Linked DNA regions of Rattus norvegicus. The protein of the gene in region 4 purifies or fractionates together with the protein of the main gene of each other region. This does not show direct contact. Links are inferred from orthologs where the notes say so. Each region holds a gene or a part of one and is shown on either strand. Other genes may lie near its edges. The genes, in order: Calr, Os9, Canx and Hsp90b1.

Region 1 (4,941 bases), on a different chromosome or scaffold from region 4:
GCAGCCAAAACAAATCTCTCCAGTCCATTATTTCATTGTGCTGAAGCAGGGTCTCATGTAGCCCAGGCTGGCCTCAAACTCACTACATCATAGCTGAGAATTACATTGAACTTTTGATCCCTGCTTCATTCAACTTCTTAAGTACTAGGACAAAGCAGAAGGCATATGTGTCAGTCACAGGACTGGAGACAGGGCCAGTCACAGGTCTGTTGGACTTGGGTGTCCTCCAGAGGGACCTACACCAGCAATGCTTAGTTCTGGACACTGCCTGGGGAACAGAGTGGACCCCCAACTTCTTGACCTTAAGTGTCATTACTGCTTGAGTTCCTCTCACTGAGAAGGAAGCACTCCATTTTTGTAAGGATTCCTTCTGTGCAGTTCCTTGTCTGTTCCAGTGTTCCCAATTCCTCAGTTTGGAAACACCTCCCATCCCCCAACCCCTACAGGTACTGTCCTTCCTCCTCCTAGCAGCAAGCAGGGTGCTGGCCACAGTCACATGATTTGAGTCAGAGGCCTCCAGATCCAAGGGTCCTGCTTATCTCCTTAGAACTCTATCACCACAGCCATCTGTGTCCTTTTTCCTTCTCAAACGGCACCCCTTGCTGTCTGCTCATAGCCGTTTAATTGCAAAAGCCAAGTCGTTTGTGGGAGACCACAAGAAGTGACTCTTTCCATTTTCCAGCGTAAGAGTAAAAAATGATAGAGGTAGGGTTACTACCTCTCACCCAAGGACACACACTTACATTCACACCGATGAGACCACTATGTTTCCTGCTCTCAAACCGTGGATAGCCCTGAAAGGTTTAAGAGCATTTCTGTCAGATAGCTCAGGGTCACCCCTGTTGGCTTCTGAGATTTCAGGGAGGCGAAGTGACTTGTATCATGTCACACAGTAGTCTGACAGGCTGTCAGGGAACTACGGGACAAGAGGAGAAAGCTGGTACATTCTCTACTGGCCTGAACAACTGGGAACCAGAATGCAGCGAAACCCCAGGATCCTGGCCCTTGACCTTATCCTGAATAGGAAAAGCTTGCCATCGGTGGGCGTTCCCTAAGTGCAGTATAGATGGAACATCAAAGTTGCAAAGAATCCTTGCTTCTTCCCTCTGACCAGAAAGGATGGAAAAAGGCCGAGACGAGACGGAGGCCCAGTCTCGGTCCCGCACGGTTAACACCCGGTACTGCTCGCGCGGATTCTTTAAACGACTTCATGGCGAGCAAGGGACTCTCACCAGCAAGGGCGGGGTTGGGCTGAGGCTCAGTCACGTGACCGCGCCTGAGTGGGCTCGCGGCCCCCACCCCAACAGGGGGCGTCCCCTACAACGCGTGGTCGACCCTGATTGGCCCAGGGTGCGGCCAATAGAAATCAGCCATCTGGGATCCCAGCGTTCCGAGCCACAGCCTAACTTGCTGAGGCGACTAGGACGCAATGAGAAGGGACAGCTGTAGGTCTAAACCAGTCAGAAGGACCGAGGGGCGGGCTCAGCGGTCGTGTCAGGTTGGGATGAGAGGTAGGTGGATATAAATTGGAGCAGCGGCGGCCGCGTCCGTCAATACCGCAGAGCCGCTGCTTGAAGATCGTTTTAAAGGGCCAGTGTGCCGCCGCCCCCTCGGCCCGCCATGCTCCTTTCGGTGCCGCTCCTGCTTGGCCTCCTCGGCCTGGCTGCCGCAGACCCTGCCATCTATTTCAAAGAGCAGTTCTTGGACGGAGGTAAGGTCTGGGCCCGCCTCGAGGCCGCCTCAGCGACTGCTGGGCCCCGAGCCCTCGGCTGCCTCGTCGTGTGTAAAGTAATTACCGTTCAGAGGGCCAACACTGTGGCCCCGGGGGGACTAGAGCCGCGGGCGGTTCCATTTGTGCGTCCTTGGGGGACCAGGAAGGCGCAGCGGTTTCCCGCGCCCGGAGTTAAGGTTCGTTCAAGGACCTGAAGCCGATCGAGGTGTCAAGTTCGAGGTTGGGATGGGAATCCCCTTCCCCACCCCCACTTGCTTGTAGCTCCTGACAGACGTTGGTTATGGGGGCGGGGGTCGGACGGTCCCGCTGATCTGACTCCTAAGCCTTTCTCTTTCAGATGCCTGGACCAACCGCTGGGTCGAATCCAAACATAAGTCTGATTTTGGCAAATTCGTCCTCAGTTCTGGCAAATTCTACGGGGACCAGGAGAAGGATAAAGGTACGAGGGAGTGGGTGCTTGGATTCAAGACAACTTCCTGGAGGAAGCTCTTGTCAGTGCACACAGCTTGTTGGAGCTTTTCCCAGGAATGAGGGAGCCAATGACAGGTGGAGGAAGGAAGGGGCGGTCAACTGTGCCCCTCAAGGTCTAGGGTATTTGGGGTCCACCTAACGACAATCCCATTTCATCACAGGGTTGCAGACAAGCCAAGATGCCCGATTTTACGCGCTGTCCGCCAGATTCGAACCCTTCAGCAACAAGGGCCAGACACTGGTGGTACAGTTCACCGTGAAGCATGAGCAGAATATCGACTGTGGGGGCGGCTACGTGAAGCTGTTTCCGGGTGGCTTGGACCAGAAGGACATGCATGGAGACTCAGAATATAACATCATGTTTGGTGAGGGGCCCCCAGCCAATGCTGACCTCTGCCGGTTGGACAGTGGGTGCGAACTGAAACCCTTTATAACTAGAATGCTGATCTTCATATCATGGAAAGCACTTGAATGATTTTTGTCCTGAGGGGACAACTAAAGGGTTTACTTTATTAGTTGGTGGACTCTATTAGTTGTAGATTTATATTGTTCATTTTTATGGTATTTTCTACATGTTTCTTAATTTTAGAAATGATGCTAATGACAGGGTCAAAGAAATCACTGGAAAAAGTGCAAATTTTTTATGTACCTGTGTATGTACTAGTGTGAAGGTCAGAGGGCAACTTTGGAAATCTCTTCTGTCATCTGAGTTCCAGGATCAAATTTGCATTATCAGGCTTAGTGGCAAGCACCTAATTTACCCCTGAGCCCTTTGCTGGCCCAGAATGGTACTCTTTTCAGATTTGTAGTCTTTGATGCCTTTAATAGGTATATTGAAATCAGGTGCCTCTCCATGATTCCTGAACAGCTAGGACTTCGTAGAGATCCTGTCTCAGGGGAAAAAAAAGACAAGATCAGGTCTTTATTTCTAGATAGCCATGGTACATTCCAGCATTCACACTACTGAGGTAGGTGAGTACTTTAAAGGCAGCTTCAGTTAAAGGTAACAGTATCCTCTGTCAAAAACAAAATAGGAGCTGGAGTGGATGCAATGGTTTCAAAGAACTGAAGTTCAGTTCTCAGCACTCAAACAGTAGCTCTCCAACTCCAGTGCCCTCTGCAGGCTCCTGTATATGCATGGTACACACACACACACACGTACGTACATACGTACGTACATACGTACGTACGCATAAATACATAAGGTTAGGTCTTTCTTCCCCAAGGGTAGAGCCTGCCATCAGCCTGCATATGCTTCCTACATAGGTCCGGACATCTGCGGTCCTGGCACCAAGAAGGTTCATGTCATCTTTAACTACAAGGGCAAGAACGTGCTGATCAACAAGGATATCCGGTGTAAGGTGTGTCTGGGGTAGTCATTTAAGTGGCTGTCACGGGAGGTCCAGGCAGCCTGGTGGGAGGGACTGCTCACCTCCTTCCTTCTTCAGGATGATGAATTCACACATCTATACACGCTGATTGTGCGGCCAGACAACACCTACGAGGTGAAAATTGACAACAGCCAGGTGGAGTCGGGCTCCTTGGAGGATGATTGGGACTTTCTGCCGCCCAAGAAGATTAAGGATCCTGACGCTGCCAAGCCAGAAGACTGGGATGAACGAGCCAAGATTGATGACCCCACAGATTCCAAGCCTGAGGTTAGTGTTGGGACAACAGCTCCACCTCCATCCTAGGGGGAGGACCCTGGGTCCCCCTGACCTCCCTGTATATTCCTAGGACTGGGACAAGCCAGAGCACATCCCTGACCCTGATGCTAAGAAGCCTGAGGACTGGGACGAAGAGATGGATGGAGAGTGGGAACCACCAGTGATTCAAAATCCTGAATACAAGGTAGGCTTGGGTGTTGAGGTGCTGCTCACTAGTAGGGTGCTTCCTTTGGTGCTATGATTGATGTCGCACCACAGGAAAAAGACAAGATATGCCTTGGGGTTCTAAGCAGGGTGGTTGGTTGTACTGTGGGATGTGTCCACCTCTGTTCATCTGGTTCTCTTCTACAGGGCGAATGGAAGCCACGTCAAATTGACAACCCAGATTACAAGGGTACCTGGATACACCCAGAGATTGACAATCCTGAATACTCCCCCGATGCGAATATCTATGCCTATGATAGTTTTGCTGTACTGGGCTTAGACCTCTGGCAGGTGAGACATAGGAAAGACAAGGGTTCCTGGCAGACCTCAAGTAGTCAGGATTGTACTGGTTGATCTGGAGGGAAGAACAGGCAGAGGCACCAACCTCAAGGTGTTTAAATTCTGAAATGTCCACTTATTGAGACATTTCCTGTTTTATCTCCTTTTTTTTTACTAACACAAAAGAAAGCTGATTTGTTATTGAAACGTTTTTATGTGTGTCGGTATACATAGAGGAAAAAAATTGTTGGAGAAGTTGGTTCTCTTCACCATGTGAGTCTTAGGAATCAACTCTGGTCGTTAAAAAAAAGCTTGGCAACCAAGTACCTTTATTTGCTGAGCTGTCTCTGGCCCCACTGAGCACCTTTCTGTAGGGCTACTTGGCATGTGCTAAGTAAGTCCTTTGCTAAAGTGCCCCTGCAAAATCAGCTCAGATCACCCACTTACAGCTCTGCTCACTGCCCACCCTGGCTACATAACAAAATAAGATTTGAAAAAAACATTAGTACTGAGTTTTTGTCATTGGTATGTTTTCAGTTCTCCCCAGAATGCCTGTTTTACAGAGGGAGGAGTAGTGCAAAAAGTGAA
Region 2 (5,029 bases), about 42 Mb from region 4:
TAGAGATCTGATTGGAAAGTCTGTGTGCAGGTTTCAGCACTCAGCCCAAAGGGTTTAGGCGGGATGTGTGCCTGTTTCATTAACAGAACCCTAGTGAGAGTACCTTTTGGATTTTCCCCCTGGCATGGTGAACTTCCCCGCAGAAATTTCCAGTGGTATAGTATACCTCTCGCTTGCCTTCATTTAGGTGTTGGTATTCTCAGGGTTATTAATCCAGTTACCTTTCTGTTTGTTTCTGGCTTCATTTTCTTCTTGTTTTCACAGGTTTTCCTCTTACGTTCTAGACAGAACAGACACTTTTCCCACATCTCCAACCCCTGGCTCAACTTTAACCAGAAGCCCCTTTATTTTATTTCCTCCTTCTCTTCTCCCCTGCCTTCCTTACCCCTGCCTGTTTTCTTCTTCTTCTTCTTCTTTTCCTCCTTCCTCCTCCTCCCCCTCCTCCTCCCCTTCTTCTCCCCCTTCCTCCTCCTCCTCTTTCCTTCATTGCCTCCTCAAGACTTTGCTGTTCATAAGCTGGGCTGGGCTCCAACCGTCTATTCTTTTTGCCTCAGCCTGTAATTATAGGCATCCACCTCCACTCTTGGCTCCATTGTCATTTCTTCTTGTTTTGAGACAGAGTCTTGTGTATTTCAGGCTTAGATCCGACTCTGTGTAGCCAAGGACTGCTTGGATTCCAGGTGTACACCAGGATGTTTGGTTCACACTGTGCGGCAGATTGAACACAGGGCTTTGCACACGCTAAACCAGTGTCTGTGTGTATTTGAAAGAGTGTGACTCATCTCGAAGGACGCTCTGGAACTCACTATATGGAGGAGGATGACCTTGAATTATTGATCCTCCTGCCTCTGTGTCACAAGTGCCTGGATTACAAGCATGCACTACCACACTCTCCTTCTTAAGATAATTTTATTGGGGGGTTGGGGATTTAGCTTAGTGGTAGAGTGTTTGCCTAGCAAGCGCAAGGCCCTGGGTTCGGTCCCCAGCTCCAAAAAAAAAAGAAAAGAAAAAAAAGATAATTTTATTGGAGGACAAACTCAGGTTTTGACACAGACTATTTGGCTGCTGGTAATATATTAGCACATATGTGTGTATATGTATATATAAATATGTACATATACGTATATTTGTGTATACATATATGTACATAATTGTATATATAACACATAAATATATGTGCGGATACATATATGTTTATATGAAGAGTCATGCTTCTGTATAGTATGTTTTGCGAAAGATATTAAGTTTCAAAGATATCCCCCACACTCACCATCCGTCTCAATATTCTGCCCAATGGAGGCTCCATACATCGCAAGAGATATACGAAAAAGTAATAAGAAGCTCTATTCCTGACAGCTGGGCGAAGGCAGGGACCAGACAAGAAGCAAAAGAACACAGCCAGTCCACACCTCTCAGGAATAAGGAGCGAGGAGGGGAGGGGCCTAATCTCGTAGCTGATTGGTTGTTGTTCCTGACCAATCAGAAGCAGCTATTGATTTTTACTACCAGTGCGACCCGCCTCCCTGGAGGCTTTGACGCCACGTTTACAAATGAGGATGAGTTACGTAAGAGAGAGCGCCCGGGCAGCCAATGAGAGCTTGAGGCGCTAATAGACGGGTGAGGCCGCTGCCAGGTTTGGGGCGGAAGGAACATCTCTAGCAGAGACGAAGCGGAAGATGGCGGCGGAGGCGCTGCTGTCCAGTCTGTTGGGATTGCTATTTCTGGGGCTCCTGTTACCTGCGCATCTGACGGGCGGTGTCGGGAGCCTGAATTTGGAGGAGCTGAGTGAGATGCGTTATGGCATCCAGATCCTGCCGTTGCCTGTCATGGGAGGGCAGGTGAGGGATGTAGGGCGAGGCGAGGGTCCTGTGCAAGAGGTAGGGGCGCAAGGTGGAGGAGGAAAGGCAGCTGCGCGTCCGGCGCGGGAGACCGGGGGAATGAAGAAGACATGGTGGTGTTTCTACGATCCTGCTGGGAATGGCAGGCAGATCTATCCCCGGGGACCAGGCACCGGCAGGGGTGGGGCTCTCCGCTGTGGACCTCGGGTCCCCAGGTCGCGTTGAAAGGAGCCGGACCCCGCCAGGTGGGGAAGCGAGAGCGCCCTCTCCTCCGCTCAGCCGGGGCTGCTGGAGGACTTGTGGCTTATTCTCTCTTCCACTGGGCACGTCCCCAGGGTCTGAAGAGGGATCTCGTTGTTCTTGGTCCCAGCGTCTGCCTCCCTGCCCCCCTTCCCGACCCTTCTTTCCCAGAGCCAAGCTTCAGACGTGGTGGTTGTGTCTTCAAAGTACAAACAGCGCTATGAGTGCCGCCTACCAGCTGGAGCTATTCACTTCCAGCGTGAAAGGGAGGAGGAGACACCTGCTTACCAGGGGCCCGGGATTCCTGAATTGTTGAGCCCAATGAGAGATGCCCCTTGTCTGCTGAAGGTGAAAGGAACTGGGGTGGGCGGAGTGAAGTCTTGGGAACTGGAATGGGGGGCGGTGGGAGTTAAGGGGCCATTGGTGTACTAGACATTGTTTTCAGACGGAGGAGGGGGAAACAAAGCAAAGACTCTGCTGAGTGTAGGGAAGGGTTACGTTAGAAGATCTCAAAATTGGTTAAACCAAGATGAGAAGAACAGTGATGGGATGGGAAGAGCAGGAGCTTACCCATAAAGTCACCCTCTGCTCCTATTGCTCTTTACCCCGGGATGCCATTGTATTCAAAGAAGTTCACTTAATACTTGAACCTGTGGGAGGGTCCTTCTGAGTGCTTCAAGGATACCATGATTTCTTATCTTTATGGAGGGCAGGGAATGACTTATGCCTGTGATCCTAGGTTGGATCACAGTGCACTGTGGCCCTGTCTTACCCCTTTCCTGACAGACAGACAGACAGACAGACAGACAGACAGGGTGTGGGTGGGAATCAGTTATACTTTAGATGTGCGTCTCTGGCCATGAAAAGAAAACAGCTGTCCCTTCTCTTAGAATCAAGAATGCATGAGGGGAGAGAGAGCAGGAGGTGAGAACTCAGTGACAGGTTATATATCTTGGATCCAGGAGACTGGTTTCACAAGGAGCCGTTTTCGTGCCTCCTGATTGTTCTCTTTCCATTGTCAGACCAAGGACTGGTGGACATATGAATTCTGTTATGGACGCCATATCCAGCAGTACCATATGGAAGGTGAGTAACTCCTACATTCTCCCTAAGCCTTCATGATGCCGTGTGGATGGCGACCCTCCCTCTCAGTCCTCCCTCCTAGGCCTCATAATAGAATAATGTGCTTTACTGTGGCTTCTTTTACAGACTCGGAGATCAAAGGTGACGTCCTCTACCTTGGCTACTACCAGTCAGCCTTCAACTGGGACGATGAAACAGCCAAGGTGACTGGCTGGGGATTGGGGTTGGAATGGGGACTGGCTGAGCTTCAGACAGACAACCCAGGCGACAGGAGGGTCAGACTGAACTGCTATGTTTCTTGGGGTTTGGTACCCATCAAGTCCCCTGGATCAGGTCTTTTGATCCCCGGGTCCCTGTGGGAGAGACCCTTCCTCATGCCCTCATCCTACCTCATGTTTTCTCCAGGCCTCCAAGCAGCATCGGCTGAAACGCTACCACAGCCAGACCTACGGCAATGGGTCCAAATGCGATCTCAATGGGAAGCCCAGAGAAGCTGAAGTTCGGGTAAGTCTTCGAAGAAAACCTTCCCTGAATAACAATAGTCCATCTGTTACTATGGGAGAAGGATGCTTGTGCCCTGAAGTGAACAGTATCTCTTAGGTGTAGAGCCCAGTCTGGGGCTGATGTCTAGCTGCCGGAGTGATATCATTGCATTTGTGGAGGTAATTTAACTCTGCGTTTCCCATAGGCTACCCTCAGTACTTCCAGGCACATTTAAGCCTTTCCAACATTTCTCCTTTCCGTTACCTAAGCTGTAAACGTTAGCGTCTGTCTGTCTTTGACTCTTCTTGCTCTGGGTGTAACATGGAGACATCGGCCTTAACTCTTCCAGCAAAGTGGGAAGCAAACAGGAAGTTCCTGCATGTGAGGAGGGCCTGATATACAAGGGATGCTAACCCAAGAAGTGAGTCTGAAAGAAGCCACAAGTCAGTGGTTCTCAACCTGTGGTCCGAGACCCCACAAGGACCACACATCAGATGCCCTGGATGTCAGATATTTACATTATGACTCATAACAGCAGCAAGATTTCAACTAGAAGAAAATTATCCCATGGCTGAGGGGTGGCCACCACAGCAGGAGGAACTGTGCTAAAGGGTCACAGCGTAGAACCACATCGTAGAACCAAGGATGAGAAGGAGGGAGATAAGGCTAGCTCGCTCAAAGCCCAGCTATCCTCTTAATGGCCTTTTAAAACTGGCTTCAGGGCTGACAGCGTCAGCGCACGCCTTCGATTCCCAGCACTCTGGAGACAGAGGCAGGTGGATCTCTGTGAATGCAAAGGCAGCCTGGTCTACCTAGTGGGTTCCAGGACAGCCTCAAAAACCAAAAGCCTCTCACCAGTTGGGCATGGCAGTATACACCTGTAATCTCAGTAAGTTGGGAGGCGGAGGTGGGAGCATCGTGAGCCTAAGGCTATTGTGAACTATGGGAAAAGGAACAAGAGACAACCCGTTTGTCCCGTGGCTGGGACTCTGAATTCTCACCAGCATCTCGGTCAGTAGCCTCCTAGCGAATGGTCCTCTTTATTCTCCTGGGTCACAGCTGAGCGGAGGCAGGTGGGGCACACAAGCAGGTGCATACAGAAATCTTCTGCGTCTGCACAACCGTAGACACCTTTAGAGAACTACCTACAACACCAGCAGCTGTGGCACCCACCAGCACTAGCTGTATGCAAAACCAGTTCACACACTCAGTCACGCAGTAGCATTGAGCAGTCAGTTTCAAGCGGGGAAAGACGCTGGCAATGTCAGCAATCAACCATTGTATGAATACTTCATCCATGCCCAAAACAAGCTGTCATATGATGCATGTCGACCATCCTGCAACATGGCCAAGACTTTTCCCCTCGGTCCTTGAGAGGCAGTGTG
Region 3 (4,969 bases), on a different chromosome or scaffold from region 4:
ACAGTGTGATCTGTGATCCGCTCTATCAATGAGATCTGTAATACCTTACTCACAGGTCAGATTTCGGGTTTTTGCTTTCATGTGCTGGGAGTAAAGCCCTTGGTCTCAAACTTGCTAAGCAAGCGTTATACCCACCTTCTTGGATCTCTTTTCATTAACAGAAACATAGAAATAATCTGTTTCTTGAGACAGGGTTTCTCTGTACAGTCTTGGATGTCCTGGAACTCACTCTGTAGACTAGGCTGGTCTTGAACTCAGAGAGAAATCTATCCTCATGCAGAGATCAAAGGTGAGCCACTACCACACCATCCATCTACTAAATTTTTTTAATTAACTTTTTTCATATTAATTCACTTTAAGATGTGAATACCCAGGATGGAGAGGTGGTTCAGTTCCCAGATGGGCAGCTTATGACAGTCTGTAATTCCAACACCAGGGAATATAATGCCCTTTTCTGGCCTCCACGGGCACCCATGAATATATTGTATATAATTATACCTATATACACATAAAAATGTTTTTAAATATATCTTTTATAAGATTAAAAAATATATATATACAACTTTTTAAAAAAGGCCAGAGAGGGGTCTGAAGGGATGGCTCAGTGGTTAAGAGCACTGACTGCTCTTCCAGAGGCCGAGTTCAATTCCCAGCAACCACATGGTGGCTCACAACCATCTGTAATGAGATCTGGTGCCTCTTGTGACCTGCAGGCATACATAAATAAATCTTTAGAAAAAAAAAGGATAAAAAAATAAAAAATTAAAAAAAGGCCAGAGGGAAGATGTGATTTCATGCACATAAGTATACTGTCCTCAGACACACCAGAAGAGAGCATTGGATCCCATTAGAGATGACTGTGAGCCACCATGTGGTTGCTGGGAATTGAACTCAGGACCTCTGGAAGAGCAGCCAGTGCTCCCAACTGCTGAGCATCTCTCCCGACCTAAATAAATCTTAACGAGATTTTTAAAAAGACATTAATACCACAATATGAAAATTTTCTAGATTCTTTAAAAAAGGAAATTTTTCAGAGCTGAAGACATAGCTCTGGTTAAAAGCACTGGCTGCTCTTCCAGAGGACCCAGGTTTGATCCCCAGCACCAACATGATGGTTCACACACATTGGTACACATACATACATGCAGGCAAAACACGCATACACCAAAAATTAGATAAATAAGCCTAAAAATTCTTACCTAGCACTTGTAGCAATAACAAAGCATTTAATAAGCATGTTCCTAATGAGTTTTACAGTAAGTTATACAGACTACAACTATCTTTGGTTGGCACTTTACTTCTTAGGACTTTTTATGAGCTGCCAATTCTATTTGCCCATTTCCTTATACTTTCCAAAGCAGTTTCTTAGTAGCTGCCCCCTCAAAGGTAAAGCAAGTAGGAGACTCATTCCCATTTATAAAGGACAGGAAGCAAAGCTACTATGCTGGACACTGTATTCTGCAGTTATGCTTACCAACTGCCACTCTACTCCCTTCAAGTTCTCTGGCAGGGCAAGTGACCTCTCCAGGACATGGATGCAAGGTGTGTTGTCAAGATGCACGTGCCTTGTGGCCCTTGAAAGATTACAGAGCTAATTGCACTGTTAAGATAGCAAGGCGGAGACACCCATTTTTCAGACAGCTCAGTAAACTCCTATTGTGGATAGTTCACTTCTATAAACAGTTCTTCAGGGCCTGGCTCACTTGTGTACCCTGCCTGGCCTGTAAGCTTAATTACAGCTCAAGTACAAAATGAGAATCGATTCCGTTCGTGTCCTTTCAAATGGTACTAGAAAATATACTAAGATTTTTCAGATAACCCAATTATTTCTCCCTTTAAAAAGGGGGAGGATTATTTAAAAAACAGGCAGAATCTTCCATTTCCTCAGGGTAAAGAAACCGTAGCTCATCTCTGTCAAGCATTTAATATTCAGTTCGGTTTAACTTCACACAACCAGCAATCACTAATGTCATGACCAGCAGTTAATATACAAGGTGTCATTAATGTGCCCTCAGGACTTAACATAAAAATTAGTATATCAGTGTAATGACCAAAGCATTCACTCCGACTACAAGAAGCCAGTGCAATTACTACTCCTTGAACCTTTACTATACATCCAATTTCTCATTCCCATTACCTTTTAATACAAGACCAGCCATTCTGTCTACTCCTAGGGGACTGAGCCATAAAGTAGAAAATCTCCCAAATCCCACTTCCCCCGATAAACTGCAGTTAGGAGCTTGCACCAGGACTTTTAACCTTAACTAAGAAACCCAAACTGTCTAGTCCTCAGTTACAATCCGAACTGGATTAGAACTACCTGTATGACCTTGGGCCAGTCATTTCAAACTTCTAGGCCTCAGTTTCCTACACTCACTAACTGAACTTTCGCTTGTATTTCCTGCTTTTAAGGTCCAGTGAATACCCTCACTGGATCACTATCTATCATCACCGAATAGGCAGGTGCTTTAATAGTTAAGCCTTAAGTTTCTCAAGCGGTACACGTTCTAGTACATTCTACTCCCTCATCGGGGTGCTATGGTCCAGACTTCGCTTTGGACATATTATTTTCTAATATTGAAACTGTAACGCTTATCTCTATGGATTTACTTCACCTTTCCCTACTATTTGGGCTACCTACTAGGCCTAATTCTAATACTACACCTATACCGGATTACTCAGTCCACCTCTGGGTGGGCCAGGACAGGGCCTAAGAAAACTCTAGAACCAAAGCCATAGGAAGTAGTTAGCTTTCTCAGAGGTCAAGGGAAACCCCAGGACACCTGCCACGCCTCCCGACCCCGGCGGCGCTGCCCAGACCAGTCTCTCTAACCCTGCCGCTCTCCTCATTGCTCTGAGCGTCCGCCCGGGCCTGCGCCACTCGAATGCCCGCCGGACCCTCAGCCGTCGAGATTCCTGCCACGCCCGACCCCCTCCGCCGCGCCGCCGCTCACCCAGACTCGTCCCAGGCCTGAGGTCCCCGCACACGCTTCCCGTCTCACCTCGAGCCTCCCGGGGACCACTGGCGGCTCCCTCACCTTCTCCCACCCGCACACCGGGCCCCGTGCTGCAGTGGAGACAGCGGCAGAGGCGGCCCGACCGTCACGTGCCGCAGAACTAAGAGGCCTCGGCTACCGCCGCCGCGCGAGCGAGCCCCACCGCACGAAGCCCAACCCCGCGTCCGCCCCTCGTTCCTGAGTGGCTACAACAAACGTCAACTCCCGTCCCTTTGCGCAAGATCTGAGAATCTATTGGTAGATACGGCCATCGCTCAAAGCTCTTTCCCATACGCCCCCTAGGGCTATTCTTCGTGGAGCGTGATGATTGGACAAGAGTGAGGCAGGAAGTGGTTGCTGATTGGGTATGAGGAAAGAAGGCGGCCGTCACCAAACGGGCGGGTGCGCGGGCCGGAGGGCGGGCGGATTTGGCGTGCGTCCTCGCGTGGGTCGACCTGGTTCCTCAGGGCCGGTGTGTTGGTGGCCATCCAAAAGACACCTTTTCCCACCCATTGAGTTAGAAACCCTGTTCCAATCCTGTCTGGGACCTATGCCCTTCATCAGAAATGGTGAGAGGTCAGGCCAGTGTGCTTATGCAGCGAATGAGATCCCTCTGGGCAGCAGACACTGTCTTGCGGAGTCATCGCCCTGAACCTGGGACCTTTTTACCTAACAAAACACTATCTAGAGTCACAATCATGCAACATGAACTCACCTTCCCATGTTCCCGTGCTGTTTCAGGCGTTAAAATCAGACATACTCTAGCGACAGGGTGATGCCATGTGCAGATTTAAAATAGCCATTTCGTAACCCACTCCTTTTTCAATATGGTGAAAACGCTGTAAGATTGAAGTGGCTATGGATTTGGCTATGTCTTTGAAAATCCTGATCGCTCCTGGTTGTGTTTGGTGACCCAAAGCTTTGACTACTGGAGAAAGAAACAGATTTTTATCATCTATGTAACTACATATGAAACCAGCTTTGTTCCTGCTACCCCAAGAGAAAGGCAGTTAAGGATTTGATGTTTAGGTCAATTTAGTAACCGCCAATTCTCCCTAATTTTAAAGAAGAAAATCCCTTTCCTTATTTGCCTTATAAAGAGCATGTTTAAAAAAAATGAAGCCAGGTTGGCACATGCTTTAGTCCCAGTTCTTAGGTATTTAGGAGGCTAAGGCAGAAGAATCCCCTTAAGGATCTGGATAGAGAGAGCTCAGTGATCAAGAGCACTTGCTCTTCCAGAGAACTCAGGTTCAGTTCCCATCACTCACAACTGCCTGTAATTCCAGTTCCAGGGGATTTTATGCTGCCTCGAATCCAATGACAGCGGACATTACATAAGTACACATAATTTATACACACACACACACACACACACACACACGCGCGCGCGCGCGTAAGTACACATAATTTACACACACACACACACACGCGCGCGCGCGCGCGCGCGCGCGTGTGTGTGTGTGTGTGTGTGTGTGTGTGTGTGTGTGTGTGTGTGTGTATTTAAATTTGTTTAGGATGGGTGTTCTGGCTTGTGTTACCCAAGATGGCATTGAATTTAAGAGAACAAAAAAAAAATCCTGCAGAGAGGTGTTAAAATATGTCAGTACTGAAGGAGTAGAGGAGTTGAGGCAGAACTTTTCTAAGAAAGAGAAAGAGGTGAGACTTGGCCTGAACCTCATAGATATGCAAATTTTCTGTAGGTGGAGTTGGAAAGAAGTTCTTAAGATGAGAAAACTCTACAGAAAAGCAAGAAAGCGGCTCTCGGGTGTTTGGGAGATCTATATACAAAAAACGTTTTGAGGGCCATGGGGACGACTCAGCAGGTAAGGACACTTGCCACCAAGCCTGACGACCTGAATTTGATTCCCAGAACTCAACATGGTAGAAGAAGAGAATTGAGATGTACTCTGATCTCTACACAAATTCACATACACACAATAATAAATGTGAAATTCTAATAAAAATGAGAACAT
Region 4 (4,687 bases):
ATGAAGTAAAGTTCTAGGAAACAAGCCTCTTATTTCACAGAAATTAAAAGGGATTTGGGGACCTGTGATTATTAATGTTTCTCACTAAATAGTCCGGCTGTCTTCAAGAACCTGGTAGGACTGAGCATACATTCATAGGCCGCATGATTATTTCTGCCCAATGAAGGTGCAAGTGGGAGCTGAGTGTGACTTTCAGGCTAAGCCTTTAATTGGTGTGCGACCCTTTGCACCATGGCAACCAGAGACACTCCAGATGGCTGCTCAGCCAGCCTGTGGAATGATTTAAGCTGAGGTCTTGGCTACCTTTTCCTAAAGGACTAGGTAGTATCTATTTTTGGCTTTAGGAGCCATAAGGTCCCGTCAGTGATTACTGCCATTGTAGACAAAAGAATTTGTACTATAAAACTAGGTATGACTTCCAATAAACCTAATAAAAAACAGGCCAAGTCAGTTTGACTCACAGGTAGCCTGTGGACTTCCATCCAAACCCACGGTGAGCAGAAGCTCCTTTCACACCAGAATAACCTACTGATGCGGTGCCTGGTTTCTGAGTATCAGTTTTTAAAAGGAAACAGTTTTTTAAGTCACCTTAATCTTGACCGTCAACTCCTCATTTCCAGCAAGTGCATTTTCATCAGTTAGTGAGATGAGCCTTATCTTGTCTAAAGCATCAGAAGCATTTGAAATCAGTTCTCTCAGGAAAATCTAAAAGGAAGAAGCCAGATTTAATGAAGTGGGACTAACCTCCAGGCACAGTAAGGTGTTGGTTCTTATGGCCAACTCCTCTCCTTTCTCCTCAGAAGCATGAAAAGGCACTCTTTAAGAACCAAGCCTTTTCTAGTGCCAGGGATGGCTTTACTCTCTTCATAAAAAAGGAGGCGTGACTCTATAAAGCTCTGTGGCAAGTACAAGGGATATCTGAAGCGGTGGGAACAGGACTACCTCTCCCACCCCCTCAGTGGTACAGCTGTGTGACTCCACCTCAGCCAGCACGTCATAACCTTATTCTGAGCTGAAAGGAAAGCTGGGGACATTGTCTACTCCCTTCCCACCCCAATATGTACCAGTAGCAATTCTCATTCATAATCTACCACAAAAGGAGCAGAGCTGCTGTCCTAACCGTGTGATGCTTACCTCTTTATTTTTATACAAAGAATTGATGATAAGTTTCATCATCCTGTTAACTTCAGCTTGGAAGGCGAACTTTTCCGATTTTTCTCTAAGTTCCCTTATTTGTGATGCATTTAAACCATCCAACTGAATAGCTTCTTCCTCTCTAAGGAAATCAAAATAGATAAGCAAATACTTAGTTTCATTTTTCTAAGTCTCTACTCAGGATACACCTTTGTAAAAGACCACTAACATACCAGCTCACTCTTACACAGAAATGGGTGCTATACTTAATGCTGGGCTGCAAAGATTTACAAAAATTCCCAGAAATACACACCCAGCTCCCATCTACTGAAAAGCAAGTCATGATTCGTGTATGCCTATGCAGTGAACACTTTGATCAAAATTTAAAACACACCTCACCCAGTGAAAAGCCCCTTTCTTAAAAAAAGTTACAGGCATAAGTTCTATTTTTCATAGTACTAACTTCACGAAAATAAAAACCAATCTGAAGTCTTCTGTCAGGTCTTAGAGGCCTACAACTTCGTCATCGGTTTTCTGATTTTGGATGCCGAGGCTTATTCCTAGCACCTCCTTCAACTTTCCTTCTTCTTTTTTTTTTTCTTCCCCCCGGAGCTGGGGACCAAACCCAGGGCCTTGCAAGCGCTCTACCACTGAGCTAAATCCCCAACCCCACAACTTTCCTTCTTGAATCAGTAGTCACTCCTAGGAGCAGACTGACCTAGGAGAGTTCTGCATGCAGATAAATGGGCCCTCCTAAGAACTCCCTGGTTATTTTGTATCATTAGCAACATTTCACACACTGCACATTGTAATCTCAATGTCTGGAGAACAAAAACAGCCAATGTGTCCCACTAACTTGCAGAGTTTATCAGCATAGTTTCAAATGCACTGACCTCTGCACAACTTCATCGTCTGTCCGTGAGCCTTCTCTACTTTTACCCAGGTCCTCTTCTACCGTGCCATCCACATCGACTTCATCGTCAGCTCTCACAAACCCTGAGGAGAAAGGTTAAAACTCTCAATACTACTGCTTCCTCTCCTTCCCATATACAGACAGACCAAGCAGGGCAAGAGGGAGGGTTAACACAATTCAGCGACGTGATGGAAAAATGATGTATTGACGTTAGTAACCAATGTCAAGGCATGTTTGCGCGCTGAAGTTTAAATGTGAATGCTCAAGACTCCCCCGTTGACTCTGGAAGGCCAGGCAGCCATCACTCATGTCTATCGTTCCTTAGACACAAGGCAGTGAGTGATACAGGCTCCCGTCTACACCCACACGTGTTGCGCACAGCCGAGAGCAGGCCTCCACACAGGCCAAGCCAAAACTTGGGCCTCGCTTAACTATCACAGGTCGGAATGCAAACAGGGTTTGTGCAACTTCTGTTGAGGGGAACTGAAATCCGGCCCAAAGGGGAAGACATGTCAAGGACCGCGCTTGAAGCACATCGGAATCGGATACTGGGCCACCGCCACCAAGCTGGCCCGAGGGCCCACGCTCGCGAGTCGGGCGTTAGAAAACAGAAACACGCTCTGGAAGAACCAGAGGGCAGGGGCTAGGGGTCCTCAGGCTCGGGTGGCCAAAGGTCGGACCTGATGACAAAAGTCCTTAGGGAGGGGCCCCAGCAAGGTTTCCCCCGTGAGTAGAGTCCGAGAGGCCGCGCCCCGCCAGCGAGACTTCGGGGAGCGCTCCAGCTCCATCCGCAGAGTATTTAAATACCGCGGCTCCAAGTCTCCTCTTCCCAGAGGCCTCAGGGCAAGGCATCATCACCCGAGTCCCCTTCGAGGAAAGGACATAGTGCCTGGACCCTCTGTAGCCCCCGGCATCCCCCTCCCAGGCTCAACGCCCCAAGAACGTTCGAGAAGCGGCCGCGCAGGAAGGTGGGGGGGCGCCCGATCACTCACCGAAGGTCAGCAGGACGCAGCAGAGGCCCAGCACCCACAGGACCCTCATGGTGCGTGGCCGGAGAGTCGCAAGTCCTTTTCGGTCGCAGGAGCCGCCTCCACCCCCCCAACCCGGAGTCTCAGGTCCTCACACCTCCAGCAGCGCGGTCCGCCCACTAAACCGCGCGCAGGTCGGGCCGCTTTTCACCCCACAGCTTGCGGGCGGGGGACGGGAAACACGAACCCACCAATCGTGCCTCACCACGCACTCTCTGCACCCAATGGGGACGCATGGGGGGGACCGCAACTCGCCAATCGGAACTGTCCAGGTGCGGTGCCCGATGCCCGAAGCGTGGCTCCTTTCGATTGGGTTTGTCCAGCAGCTTTTCTCCAATCAAATGGCTCCGCGGGCCCCTCACACACCGGGCCACCCCTTGGCCTGGGAAGCCTTGGTCTCTGAGGAAAACCGTCCAATGAATGTAGGCGCATAGCACGTCTGTCCTTTCCTAGAGGTCCCGGGGAACCACTTCCGGCTCTTAGAGAACGTTTGTTCCGTGACTAGGGGAAACCGTAGCCAAGACAATGTGGTTTATACCCTTTTCCCGTCTACGACGTGGGTCACGTTACGAGCCCTTTCAGCGCTACGTTCGCCGTCACCTTTCTTTTGGGCGTTTCTTTTCGCAAAAGAGAAATTTGTGAGGGGTTGAATATCCGGAGTGCGTTTGGATGGTGGTGAGAAACTACAGTTTCCGGCATGCAACGCGCTAGTCTCAAGAATGCTGGGAATTGTAGTCTCTGGCGTCTAAGCCAGTTGCGTAGTTTGGCCCTTGCGCTTACTCTGGTCTTGTGTCCGCGGGAAATGTCTCCTGAGTGATTTAGATTTCCACCTAATTCGGATTGCAGAATAGATCTATGCTTGTTCTAGGACTCTAATGCACACAATTTTCAGAGGCGGCTTTGGAAAGTCGCCCCGCGTGGCCCTAGTCTCGCCGTGTCAGAGGGCCAGCTACGGATTCTGGGCTCCGCCTCTGGCTGATGGTAGCACGCCGGTTTCCAGGTCGGCTTTCTAGCGCGTCATTCAGGTTTTCACTTGGCGTTGCGCTGCCCGCAACTCCAGACCTCTCTGGTTTGATTTGCAGTAGAGGGTGGTGGGGGTTCACCAACCCCCAAGGAAACTCCAAGAACCCAAGTTCCTTTGACATCCCCATTAAATATCAAGGAATGACCTGGCAATCTAGAGTCCCTCTTGTGATTCGGCTGGAGAGCACGGTGGTGAAGTCCAGGCTAGCATAGAACAGGAAAGGACATTTGCAGATACTTGAAAGCAAAAGCCGCAGTGCTTGCAAAATAGCCTGGATTGTGGCTTTGTAACTTCATAGAAACACCTTTCCGCCTTCCGACAGACAGCAAGAGAGGCTCTCTGGTGAGGGAAGTCCCTAAGGCCAGCCTGTGCATTCCGAAATGTTCTCTAAGCTCTTTTGTCTCATTTTAACAAAATTTTCACCAGCACGGGTGCCTGCCTCTAACACACCCGTTCTATCACCTCTTTCTCCAAGAAAATTGGAGTTGTTTTCAGGTAATCCAAATTCCCGAAGGCAAGCTTTTCAGTAACAGTGTCCTAGACCCTTGGACAACTTTGAGAATTTAGACTTGCAGATCTTGAATCTGT

The links.
Region 1: the proteins of Hsp90b1 (region 4) and Calr fractionate together in Homo sapiens (co-fractionation; 4 studies listed by BioGRID, with this or other methods). This does not show direct contact. The link is inferred for Rattus norvegicus from reciprocal best matches to the Homo sapiens genes HSP90B1 and CALR.
Region 2: the proteins of Hsp90b1 (region 4) and Os9 purify together in Homo sapiens (affinity purification with mass spectrometry; 6 studies listed by BioGRID and IntAct, with this or other methods). This does not show direct contact. The link is inferred for Rattus norvegicus from reciprocal best matches to the Homo sapiens genes HSP90B1 and OS9.
Region 3: the proteins of Hsp90b1 (region 4) and Canx purify together in Homo sapiens (affinity purification with mass spectrometry; 4 studies listed by BioGRID and IntAct, with this or other methods). This does not show direct contact. The link is inferred for Rattus norvegicus from reciprocal best matches to the Homo sapiens genes HSP90B1 and CANX.

The regions. Positions count from the first base shown.
Region 1 is NC_086037.1:40,211,810-40,216,750, forward strand, and holds the start of Calr (calreticulin precursor), read left to right. Parts: upstream 1-1,557; 5' UTR 1,558-1,620; coding exon 1,621-1,711; intron 1,712-2,069; coding exon 2,070-2,171; intron 2,172-2,364; coding exon 2,365-2,568; intron 2,569-3,469; coding exon 3,470-3,564; intron 3,565-3,651; coding exon 3,652-3,861; intron 3,862-3,940; coding exon 3,941-4,054; intron 4,055-4,221; coding exon 4,222-4,365; intron 4,366-4,941. UniProt on the Homo sapiens protein: Calcium-binding chaperone that promotes folding, oligomeric assembly and quality control in the endoplasmic reticulum (ER) via the calreticulin/calnexin cycle.
Region 2 is NC_086025.1:64,825,689-64,830,717, reverse strand, and holds the start of Os9 (protein OS-9 precursor), read left to right. Parts: upstream 1-1,647; 5' UTR 1,648-1,676; coding exon 1,677-1,838; intron 1,839-2,249; coding exon 2,250-2,426; intron 2,427-3,100; coding exon 3,101-3,164; intron 3,165-3,287; coding exon 3,288-3,364; intron 3,365-3,566; coding exon 3,567-3,665; intron 3,666-5,029. UniProt on the Homo sapiens protein: Lectin component of the HRD1 complex, which functions in endoplasmic reticulum (ER) quality control and ER-associated degradation (ERAD).
Region 3 is NC_086028.1:35,154,760-35,159,728, forward strand, and holds the start of Canx (calnexin precursor), read right to left. Parts: upstream 3,099-4,969; 5' UTR 3,003-3,098; exon of another isoform or gene 2,955-3,002; intron 1-2,954. UniProt on the Homo sapiens protein: Calcium-binding protein that interacts with newly synthesized monoglucosylated glycoproteins in the endoplasmic reticulum. It may act in assisting protein assembly and/or in the retention within the ER of unassembled protein subunits.
Region 4 is NC_086025.1:23,009,082-23,013,768, forward strand, and holds the start of Hsp90b1 (endoplasmin precursor), read right to left. Parts: upstream 3,213-4,687; 5' UTR 3,089-3,212; coding exon 3,040-3,088; intron 2,131-3,039; coding exon 2,028-2,130; intron 1,277-2,027; coding exon 1,135-1,276; intron 706-1,134; coding exon 589-705; intron 1-588.